Linked DNA regions of Daphnia pulex. The protein of the gene in region 2 purifies or fractionates together with the protein of the main gene of each other region. This does not show direct contact. Links are inferred from orthologs where the notes say so. Each region holds a gene or a part of one and is shown on either strand. Other genes may lie near its edges.

Region 1 (5,824 bases), on a different chromosome or scaffold from region 2:
AGGTACCCATTCCTCTTCCGGCATATTTCAACCACCAAGGAACTTCTTCGGGTTGGGGGGCTTCCGGAGTTGGCTGAGAAGCTGCCGAGGACATTTTTACCAAGGAAAGGAAAGAATAAAAATATTTGCAATCAAACTGCCCGAGTACGGACTACACAGTACACACGGCAATGCAAAGGATAACGAAACTAATAACACTCCAAAAAGCCAAAGTGACAGCTTAAGAATCGGGTGCGGCGTTGCAAAATCGTATTTATAACGGGCGTATCGACGTATCGGAAAAAAAATTTAAGGATTCATCATTTTTGGTAATTCAAAATGACCAAATCAGGGATAAAATCATGTTGATCTTGTTAGAAAATTTTTACTATTTAATTTTCTCTAAAATTCATATAAGATATCTTGACTTCATCATTTGTTAGATATTTTCAGTAAGTTACAACGATCCTGCGCTCTGTAATTTCTTTTCGTGAGATTAGTAAAATTGGAACATTTTTTTCCTAAGAAGGGGGAGGTTAGTAATCGATACCAAAATATCTAAAGCTCTTTAAAGGGAAACTAACGTAACGTCATTGTCAATTGTCAATTGCCATTCACCGCCGGGTCGGTATAAAACAAGGTTCAAGTTTTTGTTTAAGTCTTTTTGGCGCTAATTTTTTAAAGTTCGTAATGGCGACCAATGTGTTGAGTGAGTGCGACTATTCTTCGGTAAAATTATCAGATTTCGAAATTGGACAACACATCGGCAAAGGACAATTTAGCGTGGTGTATCGCGCACACTGTAAACTCAGTAATACAATGGTAGCGTTGAAAAAAGTACAGCTCTACGAAATGACCGATCTAAAAGCACGTAACGATTGTATGAAAGAAATTCAGCTTTTGCAAGTACACTACTTTCTTTTTTTCTTTTTTAAATATTTCTTTTCAATTTTGATGACAAAAATTAATGTGAGGACGTCCGTTCCATCTTATTTCAATTTTGTAACGCATACAAAAGCAATTAAACCATCCAAATGTCGTGTGTTACATTCACTCTTTCGTGGAGAACAAAGAACTTCAAATCGTTTTGGAACTAGCTGATGCAGGTGATCTAGCCCAATTACTGAGACACTGCCAGAGACAGCGTCGACTCTTGGGTGAAAAAACAATTTGGCGCTACTTTGTACAACTTTGCAGTGCTTTGGAACATATGCACAGTAAACGAGTCATGCATCGAGGTGTGCATCAACTACGCTAGACTCGCGTTTAAACATTCTGTTCATTCGGCTATTTTTCTTTCAGACATCAAGCCTGCAAATGTGTTTATGACAGCTAACGGAATTATTAAACTTGGTGATTTGGGTTTGAGTCGTTTCTTTAGCTCGAAAACATTGGCCGCACACTCACTAGTTGGAACTCCTTACTACATGAGTCCTGAAAGATTAAAGCAGACAGGCTATGATTTCAAGTCAGATATATGGTCGCTGGGCTGTCTTCTATATGAGGTACTAGTAAATTTATAACTTAACCTGTTCCTTTTATTTTTACTGACAAGATTCGAATTTTGCCAGATGGCAGCTCTTCAATCACCTTTTTACGGAGAAAAGATAAACTTATTTTCCCTCTGCCAGAAGATTGAGAGGTGTGAATATCCGCCCATTCCTTCTGCTCACTATAGTCAAGAGGTTATATTAATCATTAACTAAATAGTCGCGACAGATATTTCATTTGATTTACAGCTTCGGCAAATGGTAGAGACATGCGTCCATCCAAGACCTGATAAGAGACCGGATGCTTACCAAGTACTGAAGAACTCACAAGACATCAATCTCAAATTCCATAGCGATGCAGCATCTCATGTTACTGCTGAATTGCGACGATGTGCAATAACCTCTAGTCATAAAGCTAACAATTTGAGGTAACGTACATATATTATTCTTAATATAAATATGGCTATCTTTTAGTAATCAGGGACACCCACAATTGTTCACTTTAAGGCCAGAAGCAGCATTCTATAACAATAATTCAAAAATTAATCAAATGTACAACATAAACACCCAATCAAGAAATTTTTAATTGATTTCCAAACCACTCCTTCATTTTCAAGTGCAACTCCCATTCAAGTTCAAATTTTATTACCATTAAGTGATATATATTTTCAATACAATGAGTTTCTCAAGAGTTTTCGGTTTCTTTGTGTTGGCACTTGGTGCAGGTGTAGAAAATGGTTTGGCCTTCATCAGCAGACCGCAACTGAAGTGATGCATAAGACATGGTTTCATTCCCACACTTGCTGCACTTGCGCTCTACAAGTGGGCCATCAGTTTTGCTCTGGGCAGACTTCAACTGTTGTTCTTCAATGTAGTCACTTCTTTTATTGAAATCAATGTTGTAATCCACTCGAACTTCTTCCATGACTTGGATATCTATCTCGAACTTGCAAACAATACACATGACTCCACCCGCGGTTCCCAAGATAGGTAATATGGCACCGCAACGTGGACAGAATTGTGGATCACAGTTAAATTGTGTAATAGCTGCCATCCTACAAGCAAATTCAATATATTAATTATAACTGACTACATTTTAAACAATAATATTACCTAGTACTAGTAAGAGGGTGACACTGACACGTGAATGACTTGACGCACAACGGCACGGCACAACGAAGCAGTCGACGCTACTTGCGTGTTTTCGTCTGCTTCTTCTGTTGATCACTTCCCATTACGCATGCTCTGAGAATTTCACTCTAGTAAACTATTTTCTTTCTTGATCTGCCATGTCTATTCCATTTTCTGGAGGATTCACTAGATCTGCTGGGATTTATTCAGCTATTGGAAAGCAACTGAAAAGTGTTAGTTTGAAACCTGTAAAGCAAGTAGTATTCAAATTTGATCCTTTCCGACCAAACGTAAAGACCATAAGGTACTGTATTTACTAAAGTTGACTACATCGCCAGAAAATTTATATCTGTATTTTTTACTTTTCTGTTTTAGAGATTGCATGTTCCTTCTCTCTTCAGCAAAAGTTGTGAACACCAATCCTCGTTGCATCGTCAAGACAGAAATAGCAGATAACTGTGAACCAACAATATCAGTCACACTTGGTAAATAGTGTTTATTTATAACACATCAGTGAAACCTTCCTAATGTATTTTCTCAGATATAGGCAAGAATCTTTTGTTCAAAACAGAAAATCTTAATACCCTTGAAGTCCTCCAACAGTTTAACAAAATTGTGGTACCTTTACTGCCAAAGGAAGAAGAAGTAGGAAAAATAGCTGGTAAAATTGCTGCGGGTGCAGCAGGAAAGGCAGGAGGAAAAGCAGGAGGAAAATCTAAACCAACTAGAAAATGAATGAACGAAAGTTCCCAGGAAGGGATCCTGGCTCTATGAAGATGATTGAAAACCTCTACTCTCAAGTTCCAGCTTTCAATGATCTTTTTGATGAAGAAAGCTTTTACATGTTTGTGGTGATTTTTGTTGCTGGTACTATTTTGGTTGCCTACATAGGTTCCAGATACATTACCATCAGACCAGTTGAATGAGTTCTCTCTTAGTCATCAATACAAATTTTTAAATGCACTTTCTCTATTTACTTTTTAAATTGAGGAAGTCTGAGACTTGAAACAATGTACTAAAGCTACAAGTGATTGAGATTCTGAGAACCATTGGAAAAGTGTTGTATATTTTAAAGGCAATTCAAATCCGTTGTAGTAGGCCTAAGGTTAGAAAATAAGACACATATTTTAGACGACTCTCTAATAATTGTTAGGGCGAGTAGTGCCTTCAATAATCAATAACAATAATACCAAGAAACTGTATAGGCTATTGGATATGACGCGCAAAATTAATAAATTGTAGCGTTAATATAGTGGCTAATGCAGCTGCACTCACACCAGCTCACACATCCAACTCTTAATCAATAATCAAGATTAATTTTAAAATTAAGTGCGATTAAATTATTTCCTGCTTAATGAATCACGATTTACGATTTACGAATACAATTTACAAATCATAGGACATTTTACATTGCGTAAAACCAAATTTCCAGAATAGACAACACTGTGATGATTCTCACATTTGTGAACCAGTCGACAATTTTGAGTGAGCCGACTTCTGTTGCCGAAGCAAGAAGCATCAATTTTTCGAACATATCGTCATGGCGTCTACAAAGGTGGTAAATATTCCGAAAGGAGGATTTTCTTTTGAAAATTGTCAAAGGTACGTTTTACTCAATCGTTATAAATTTGTATGAAACCTAAAATGTCACAATTACAACTGTTTCCCAATCCAGAAACAATTTCATGTCCAACCAAGGCTTTCCAGCACCCAAAGCTGTCAAAACAGGAACAACCATTGCTGGTTTTATTTTCAAGGATGGAGTCATTCTTGGTGCCGACACAAGGGCCACAGAGGGAAATATTGTTGCAGACAAAAACTGCTTCAAACTTCACTACATGGCACCCAACATTTAGTATGTGTATTTGTGTTAAATCATAACAGGCTTACTTAACAGGTCAACAAAAGTAATAATGAAATAATTTTACTATTAGTTGCGCTGGTGCTGGAACTGCAGCTGATCTGGAGATGACTACTTTGCAGATGTCTTCCCAGTTAGAACTCCATCGTCTGAACACTGGACGTCAGGTTAAGGTTGCAACAGCCAATCGCTTGCTCAAGCAGATGCTTTTCCGTTACCAGGTATTGTGATGTTGGTTGTATAAAGTGAAAGAGTAGTACCACTATTTTATTTGAATATAGGGACACATTGGAGCTGCTTTGGTTCTCGGAGGCATTGACAGTTCAGGACCCCATGTCTGCTGCATTTACCCACACGGTTCAACTGACTCTTTGCCTTTCGTAGCAATGGGTTCCGGTTCGTTGGCCGCTATGGCTTTCTTGGAATCGGGTTGGAAGCCCGACATGGAATTGGCTGAAGCCAAAGTGCTGATGAGGAACGCCATTTGCGGTGGTATCTTCAACGATTTGATGTCTGGCAGTCACGTCGACTTGTGTATCATTACTCGCGAGAAAGCTGAAATGATTCGACCGTTTGAAGTGGCCAACGTTAAAGGTGAACGCCAAGGCTCGTACCGTTATCCTCGCGGGTGCACGGCTACCCTCTCAACTCGGGTCATCCCCATCGAAATCGAATCCACTGTCGTGCGTCCAGTTGGCGAAGAAAGCATGGACACGGCTTAAATCCAAACATATTGAACCCCACACCTTTTTTTTCGTTTCAAACAAAAAGAAAAAAAAATAAAATAAAAGAAGTCGAATCCATAAATGTACGTGATATTCATTTTATTTATTTTAACGTTGCAACCAACGAATTTGTGCCGTTTTTTCTCTTACAAGTGACATGCACAGCACAACCACGCTCAATAATAGGCGGGCAGAGGCTTGAAAAAGAAATAGGGCGAAAGAAATGAAACGAATTGGGTTTTTTTTTCCATTCCCTATATATATGTATATATATAAGAAACGTAATTGCCAAAAGTGTGTGAGTGTGGCCAGGATACGAATGTTGCGTCCCGAGTGTTAAATTTGTTTTTCGTTCATCCTTTTTGTTTTGAATAGCCAAATATTGTCGGGCGGAATCCAATGAGAAATTATCGAAATAAGGAGTGCATAATAATAAATACACGAAATTAAGGGGGGTAGGGTTATAACTCGCGTTTGGCTATGTACACACACATCGTCATTACATCATTGCAGCCGCACTGCGTGATTCAACTCCATTTTTTGCCACATTTCGAATTTTTTTGTCATTTCACTGAACATATGTACACACACGCACACAAACAAAAAAAAAACAACCCAGACATTGATAAGCGAGCCCT
Region 2 (8,391 bases):
GATATAAAAGGGCATGTACGAAATAATCCCAGTGCACATTATTAACGCTGGCGGAGGTCTATAACGAGAAACAATTGAGGCAAGAGGGGGGCAAACCGATTTTTTGTTTGAACTTTGTGTGTCATGGCACTGATTTTTCGTTCGGTTATATTATTTTAGGAAAGAGAAGACAATACCTGGATATCTTTCGTGGAAATTGGACTGACTATTGGCGCTGTGCTGGTAATTGAAATCTCGGTGTTGCCAGGCCAGAGGCGTGCGTGAATCCAAGTCGACACGATCGTTGGAACTGCTCTGGCGGGAGCGTTCGCGCTCACGTTCACGACGATCCATTCGCCGTTCCATTCACGACCGCCGATTTGAAGGAGGAAAAAAACACGCACACACACAAGGTACACTTACACACACACGGATAATAATGGAATTTTCAAACTCTCTGTGGGAAGATGGGTGAAGGTGAACAAACCAACAATGTTTGTTTCTCTCTAATTCTTTTTCTCACATCCGCACCGGACCGGAACTACGGCCGGATTGAATAGAAAGGAAATATAACCCCCCTACGCCACTATTTGTTGGGCTTCACTTGGGAGTAGAAAAACCGGTTTTGTGTGTGTGTGGTTCTTTAAGAAAATCTTTTTTGATGAGTTGTGAAAAAGATAAAAATGACACGGTGCGGAGTAAAGGAGAGAGAGGTCCGTTCGGATCCGCTTCACAGTGTCGACTGGCCTGCGCGTAGCCGAGTCACTTTGGCTTTACCTTGTCTTTGGTAAAAGAATTCCTTCGCCTTTTCTTGTACACATTTCCCACCAAGTTCTTATTCTTTTCTTTTCTTTTCTTTTCCAGGTATAAAAACGGGCGAAGAAGATGGCCGCCGCCGCCGTACACATTTTGTGTGTGTTCTTCCCTCTGGCAGAATTCATGTCCCTACCCTTTTCCCTGCTCAAGTCATCGACCTATGTAATGTCTAGTATACCTTCCTTCCTTCTTCTTCTTCTTCTTCTTATTCGGTTCTTCTTCTTCTTCTCCTTTTTGCGCCGCCCGCCATTGGAGTGTGGGACCAAATTCTCCGTTGCATTTTTACCTGGTGGTGGAAGAGGTAGGGAAGGAAGTTGTTTTTTTTTTTTCTTCTAGGAGCATTCAATAATTTGAATAGCTCCTATATAGCTAAGGCCATTTGGCTTGGAGATGAGATGGTAGAACACACACACCGAAATATAGACAATCACACGGTCTATGCGATATATCTATGAGCTCGCACAATGTGTATGTACCGGTGTATCTACTTCCCGGCTGGGTTACTCCCGACAAACAATTACCGAATCTGGGTGACGGTTTATTTGGCTAACAATTGGGTGCCGTTGTTGTTGTTGTTGTTGTTGGCTGTTGGCTGTCCCATTTGCTATTATTCAGATGACATAATACGATGAGCAGACCTTTTTTTTGTGTGTGTGTCGTGCAGTCGTCACGAGCCGCATAAGAAAAAATTGCTCACCTGGAAATAAAGATGAAGAAATGATTCTTTCGGGATTTGATGATAATAATGCACGTAACGTTCGCTTTGATGTTGCCTTTTAACGAGATGAGAAAACAGTTTTTCTTTTGGGGGGGGGGGGGGGGCAAACATTGTCCGGGGTGTAAATTACCCGTGAAAGTCTATAGATCTTTTTATTTTTTGTTATAAATATTTGCGTGATTGATTGGGTTATCAAATGATTTTTTTTTTCCTTTTTTTAAAAGAACCGCGCATTTTTCTTTTGATAAGACAGAAAAGTTGCAATTTCGGGTGGATGCGGTTTTTTGGTTTTTTTATTATTATTACGTCCAATAGGAGGCCTCCACCGCGTTAACAGCAACACCTGGAGGCGAGTTCCATACTTGAATTTAAACATCTCTCAGAAGGAGCTGGCGCCCCACCCACCCACCAACTGGTCAGCTTATACACTTCTATAACCAAAATAAGAAAAATGTTTCATATGTTTTTAATTCCTTCTCGTTTGGGTTAGGTGACGTCTGGCTAATTTCCGCCCAATTTTCATTGCCCAGCCAAACTCCTTCCCATTTTCCATACAATACCCAAGTTAATAACGTTCTTTTTATTATTTTTATTTCGCCTTGGGTGCGGTATTTTTTCGGTCGGCAGTCACGGGAAGTGGCAATAATCCAGAAGGAAAGGGAGAATTATTCCCTTTTAATATTTCTTTTTTATAATATCACGATCATCAGAATGTTTTTACAAGGCGCGATCCATCATTAGAGTGACGTAAGGACTTGGGCGAGCTGCTGAACTGTGGTGGTGCGTGAAGAAAAGATGGGAGCGGCCCCACGTAATAATCACGAATTTTTTTCAATTCTCCCGGCACCGGTGTGTAATGTTTGTTTGACCATCAAAAGTCTCACACACACGTTGAATGGGAAAAACGTAAAAAAAAAAGAAAAAGAAAATTTCATGGTCAAATGGCCACACTGAAAAAAAAGTTGTTGATTTTCTTCTCAAACAAATTCACTTTTTTACACACGTAATTTTGTTTTGGTGATTTTTGTTTTTCTCTACCTCCCAGCCATCGTATTAGATATAGTGGGAAGAAAAGTGATGATTTTAACGGACAGTCTCTTCTTCAAACTGTCGGGAAAATTTTTCATCGGTTAAAAAAATTTTAAAAAGTGTTCCGTCATGCGGATCATTCCGCGCGGATGAGGAAATATATATCTATGATCTGTACACAACATCCAACGGTTATTTCCGTCGGTATTTTTTTTTTTCGCGACTCGGATTAGCCAAGTTCAACCACCCGAGATGGAGGAGGAGGGCATCACAGTAATGTTGTTGTTGTTGCGGACATCTTAAGAGCACAATGAGACGATAGGAATTGGACGCCAAAGAAGTAGGACGACACGGAAACTGGAGTTGGTTGAAGAGAAGATTTACCTGCTGCTGTGCTGCTGGGAGGTTTTAAAAACGTAACAACAGTCATTCACGTGTACACATAGGCAGTGGGTAGTATATCTAACTGTCAGTTGCGAGGGGAGCCAAATGGGATGGATCAGCAGAGCACGTCGGATAACCGACATATTTCATCTTTTTGATGTTGTTGCACACGCCACGGTATATATAGGAAAAATGCCGGCCGGATAGCGGTCGGCAGATGAGCTCAGTATCGTACCTCATCACATTGCGGTGGAAGATTCACCTCATTATACACAAGCGCCGTACCCTACATATGGTTAGCCATAATATTATTATTAGCAGGGCTGCTGAGATGCAGCGAAATCTTTTTTGATTGATCGCTGAGCGCGCTGGTTGCTCACGAGATTATTTCGTCTTTTTTAAAATCAGCCCGCGCTCCGTTTCTCATCGTCGGTTGAATTTCACGTGAACCGCAAAGTCGTTGCAGCGCGGAGAAATTTGTTTTGGGGAATTTTTGCAAGTTTAGGCGCATAAAAATCTTTCACAAAATCATTTGAACTATTTTGCTTTGTCATTGGTAAATGGGACTGAAAAATAAAAAGAGAAAAACGGAAAATTCTTATCTCATTGTGTCGGGGGGTAATATTTCATTTTGTTTTTGAAGGGAGAATGAGAGAGAGGAACCCTAACCTACATGTTCTGTTTTTACCCAACAATACAATTGTGGGAGGAGGAGGAGGAGGGCAGAGACCGTGATGACATGACAGGTGGATTTCATTTTTAGTTTATTTTTTTATTTTTTTTCCAAATTTATTTCTTTTTTTTTATGACCACCCACCCACTTATTCCAAGGAGGGAGGAAAGTCGCTAGGAGAGAGAATTATGTTTGTTTAATTGCTGTAATTTTAGAAATTCCTTCTTCAACCGACTAGAAACTCGCTGAACCCGATCATTCAGTTATTCAGTTATACCCCATTCACGCAAATGTCGTATCAACAAGGCAACTACGGGAGAGATTAATTGAGTTATAAGCCACCTAGCGGTGGAAATTGAAACTGGGGTGACGTCGGTAAAAATACAGCAGACGCTTTTTGCAAAGATTCCGCCAGTCATTTGTGGCTTTCAAGTTTACCAAGTTTAACACGTTTGCAATCCGTGGTCAAGAAAATGTTTGTCTTTCTGAAGAATAAATCACTGGAATGGTCTTCACTTCAAGATTACACCTTCATATTGGTAATTTCGTGCAAGGTGGATTGATTAAAGGCAGATCTCGAACTCGGCCGAAAAATTCGAACAGGGGAATTGCGTATTGGAAAGACGAGTGATTCATGTCAAAGCAGTTACGACATTGACTTAAATTTTTAGTGGGTAAATTGCATTCAGGGAACAACAATGTTATTTTCTTAATCGATAGACTTGAATAACTGGAAAGAATTATTATTTTTGAAGTAAAAATCGAGTTTGAAAAAAGGAGCCACCTGGCGGCCATTATTAGAATTGTGATAAGAGAACTGTCAAAAGTACAACTTAACTCAATTTCACTAAATGCGTAAAGTAAACTAAAATTTCCGCATACAAACTTGCTAGTCAAACGTAGTGAATGATTCGTGAAAAATTATTCCTTTCAAACCCGTCACCCAAATGACATGCTCCAAAAGTGCTAGTCTCTCAGCTGGGTATGTGGCGCGTACCTGTAATCCTGCTTCTGGGAGGCTTGGTGTAGTGGATGGCTTGAGGCTGGGAGTCCTGCTGGATCGTCGCTTGCGTTGAACAGGTGTCCGCACTAAGCTTGGCATCAACATGGATCGGTTGGAGTAATCCGGCAGATCCAGGTTATCTAAGGAGGAGCGAATCGGGCCAGGAGGGAAACCGAGCAGCCAAAAGTTCCCGTGTCGGGCAGTAGTGGGATCGCGCCCGTGAGTAGGCGCCTTTCAGTAGCCCAGCCAATAAAGTCACACCTACATCTTTTTTCGTCTTTTTTCTAATTGAATTTCATAGTTTGAGTATTTTTTGGATTTTATTGCATCATTAAATTGGTTTTCTGATTTTTCAGCCGGCCGTTTCAGTCGGCAACATCGGCCAGCTCTCGGTGGACTTGCTCATCAGCTCCCTGCACTGTGACAAGCTAGCCAAATTGGATCACCCCGTATTCGTACCCGTAGTTGGCAGTGATCCTTATGATGAAATACGGGAACAAGGCCTCATGACAGCAGCAGAATGTAATTTAATTGATATTAAATTTTTGACTGAATGGCATCTAATTTTCGCTAAAATTTCAGTATACATCAGCAAAGAAAAGAAACTGGTTATTCTACAGATTCGTGGTCTTTTGATTAAGGTAACTCATTGAAATTATTATTAATGTAAAGGTTTTAACCAGCTAATTCATTTATTACTCCCAAAAGGAATTTTGTGCCGATTTCTTGTCCCAGTTAGTGGACTGGATCAAGAAATGCGCTTTTGTCAAGACTATTCTGCTGTCCAGCCTCCACAACTACGAACGAGTTGATTCCCAACTCACCGGATCTCCATTCCGCTACACTGTGACTTCAGCTGTCAACTCGTCTATTGAAAACGAATTAAAGTAAATTGCGGAGAGATAAAATCAAGATCAATAATTGTATTCTAAAAGTATTGATTGAACTATAGGACTCTGCAGTGGCCTGCCCTGGAGACCCGACGTTCGGTTTGGAAGGAAGGCAATGAAGATATCCTTTTCTTCCCCGGTGGAGGATATACTAGTCTTCTGAATAAATTATGGTAGACGTGTTTATTCAATCCGTTTCGATTACGTTTTATAACTGAAGTTTTCCCTTTTATTCTGCAGTGGCGAAATGAATGTCCCTCTGGTAACTCTTCTTATATTTTGCGCCGAGGGTGACAATATACCGGGAGTTTTGCTGGTGACGGGTCATTTCAACCGGTGGCTAAACTTCGTACCAATGGCCAATGATGCCCCGGGCTGGAAATTCCCAGCGTCTTGGAAATTATTCTTTGGTGCACCAGCTCCCATGACCATGTATTGATTGATCAAAAAAAAATAATGATTGGCAAAGGAAAAGATAATAAAATCGAGTGATTGGTGAATTTCAATTAATTTAATCTTTTGGTTATTCGACGTGCTTGTTATGGAGCTGTTAGTCCAACCCCCAGGTCTCGTAACTGTCAGTTATACGTTAATAATAATAAAAAAAGGTACAGAGAAAGTGTTATGGAATTGCGATGCGGACGTTGGTTGGTGGGCGATTGCGTCATTGACTTATTGTGATGATCTTTTCCTTCAATTCTGCAGAAAGGAAAGAACGGCTGTTAAAGATAAGACATACGAGTTTCACGACTAGTTTGAGATTATAGCCTGTACCTTTAGAACGGACAAAAATCTTATAATTCAAACATGCATTTAGATTCCATTCATACTGCCGTGCAGAAATAAATATTATGTTATTGTGCCATTTACTTAAATATGAAAGGTCGCAAATGTATAGAACATAGGTTAAAAACCTGCGGAAGCCAATCGGACGAGGCGGAATCCGGCGGAACCGCGGAATCGATATCGGCCAAATAAGTCTCAGAATTTTTTTGCGCCAATAATTGATTTAAAGCTTGTCATGTGATAGAGTTCGAGTTTCATTTACTGATGGCAATCAACCAATCAGCGGTAAATTATATTTTAACAAATTTTTATTAAAAAATTAAATGTAATTTAAGCAAGATTTTGAAAATTTGCCACCGCTGTAAATGATATGGGGTTGGGGTGGGATTGTGGGAAGGGTAGAAATAGAATTTTCTTCTGCTCAGAAAATTTTTTTATGATCCATTCTCACTCTCACTGCCTTCTGCCTTGGTAAGTAGTTTATTTGGTCAAATTTAAATTTATGTTCAAAAATATTTCTGGTATTTGGCTTTGTTTCATAATATTGGTTATTACATTCAAATTTTGTTTTATCTACATTAAATTCTATGTGATAAAATTTACGGTAAATTTACCTTCTGGTTCTACAGATTTTTGAGAAAACAGCGTGGTCGCGTGGTTGGTGTCGTAAATTTGAAATGTATCCAAAAAATCTACAAAATGATTTGTCTACATGCATTTTCTACTCTTAAAATGTAGGTGAAAATTTTAAAGTTGGCTATATTATATACTAGTATTCGTGATGATAAAATTTAATCTTAATGCTAGTGAAGACATTTTGCATTATAGTCTTTCGCTCCTATCTGATGATCAGTTCTAGCTTTGTGTTACAATCATTGGCCTATTTCCCATTTTAATATATTTTAAATTTGTTTCAGGTCGTGATTGCACACCTCTATCACCTATCACTGTTTACCCACTGTGTAGAGCCATGGTACCGATTTGGAGGTGAGTTGGGTTGAACACCCCTTTTTTGTGTCCAACCATAATGATTTAAAATATATCCTGAAATATCATGGAGGAATCATGTATTAGCTCTAAATGAAATTTTTAATTTGTAACTATCACTGTTTGCAAATGAAATCATGTTAATGAAGTTTTCCTCGCAGATATCCTCTTGCTGTAACTTGGTTGCAGCCCTGATTGCAGTCTTTTTTTATCTGCAATTTAGGTAATGTTGGTTCTAAAATTGGTGTGCCGTGGGGTTTTATGATGATTCACTAGCATAGGTCATCTGATGTTGAGGAAGATAAATTTTGCAAATCTGAAATGGCTTCAAGAATTATCATTATGTTTTAGTTTTCCTTAATTTAATAATTTTTCAATTTTCTGTAGGTATTGAGGCTTGTTACTCCAGGGCTTTGACCTCGATTTCGTATTTGAGCAAGTTAAGGATTACTCCCATGTGATGCATCATAATTAATGGTAAATATTCCATAATAAATTTACTTATGATTGTATGACGACAAAATAGACCACCAATCGTTATCTGATGCTTAAATATTGATATAAAATACTTGTATAATTGTTCACTTATTAATGAAGGACAATTTCTTCAGCAGGTTGATGTAACTATGGTACTACACACTACTCGAGCTCCAGTCTGGAAAGTAAGTAATTTGATTCCGTTTCCTTAGGTGTTTCGGTTTAAAATGATGTTCATTCGTGCGTGTCATCTGATATCTTGATGCATAAGACATCTTGTCATTTACTGATTACGTTTTTAATGAGTTATAAGTCTTTTATTAAACTGGTATGATAAAAAATTATCATTCTTTGTTTTCAGGTGGTATCTGTAAGCTGCGTTACGTCGAAAGTTCAGGGTTCCCAACTTGGAAAGGTATAACCAGTGTTGTCATCTTATTGCTTTGTTATACTCCATGATGTCAACTCGATTGCACTAGGCTGGATAAATTAGTTTGATACTGTTCTAGTATTTTACTTTCTTACCTCTGATGTTCTGTCATAGTTACTCTGAGACGTTACAAAATATGCCATGTAAGTGTTTTACTTGATTGCCACGTCTAATTAGTTTTTCCTTAATTTCAGATGTGGTGTCTAACCGACTACTTGA

The links. The genes of interacting proteins can lie anywhere in the genome.
Region 1: the proteins of proteasome assembly chaperone 2-like (region 2) and proteasome subunit beta type-7-like purify together in Homo sapiens (affinity purification with mass spectrometry; 3 studies listed by BioGRID and IntAct, counting the BioPlex papers as one, with this or other methods). This does not show direct contact. The link is inferred for Daphnia pulex from reciprocal best matches to the Homo sapiens genes PSMG2 and PSMB7.

What each region holds. Positions count from the first base shown.
Region 1 is NC_060019.1:7,368,870-7,374,693, forward strand, and holds proteasome subunit beta type-7-like, read left to right. Parts: upstream 1-4,036; 5' UTR 4,037-4,140; coding exon 4,141-4,202; intron 4,203-4,275; coding exon 4,276-4,455; intron 4,456-4,534; coding exon 4,535-4,682; intron 4,683-4,742; coding exon 4,743-5,183; 3' UTR 5,184-5,268; downstream 5,269-5,824. Other genes in the region: calcium channel flower-like, read right to left, coding at 1-94; serine/threonine-protein kinase Nek7-like, read left to right, coding at 670-885, 998-1,217, 1,282-1,484, 1,551-1,664, 1,719-1,897, 1,944-2,055; 39S ribosomal protein L53, mitochondrial-like, read left to right, coding at 2,759-2,904, 2,976-3,085, 3,142-3,335. UniProt on the Homo sapiens protein: Component of the 20S core proteasome complex involved in the proteolytic degradation of most intracellular proteins. This complex plays numerous essential roles within the cell by associating with different regulatory particles.
Region 2 is NC_060026.1:15,318,695-15,327,085, forward strand, and holds proteasome assembly chaperone 2-like, read left to right. Parts: upstream 1-3,979; 5' UTR 3,980-4,072; coding exon 4,073-4,138; intron 4,139-4,958; coding exon 4,959-5,124; intron 5,125-5,184; coding exon 5,185-5,243; intron 5,244-5,310; coding exon 5,311-5,489; intron 5,490-5,554; coding exon 5,555-5,665; intron 5,666-5,732; coding exon 5,733-5,931; 3' UTR 5,932-5,992; downstream 5,993-8,391. Other genes in the region: one cut domain family member 3-like, read right to left, coding at 177-345. UniProt on the Homo sapiens protein: Chaperone protein which promotes assembly of the 20S proteasome as part of a heterodimer with PSMG1.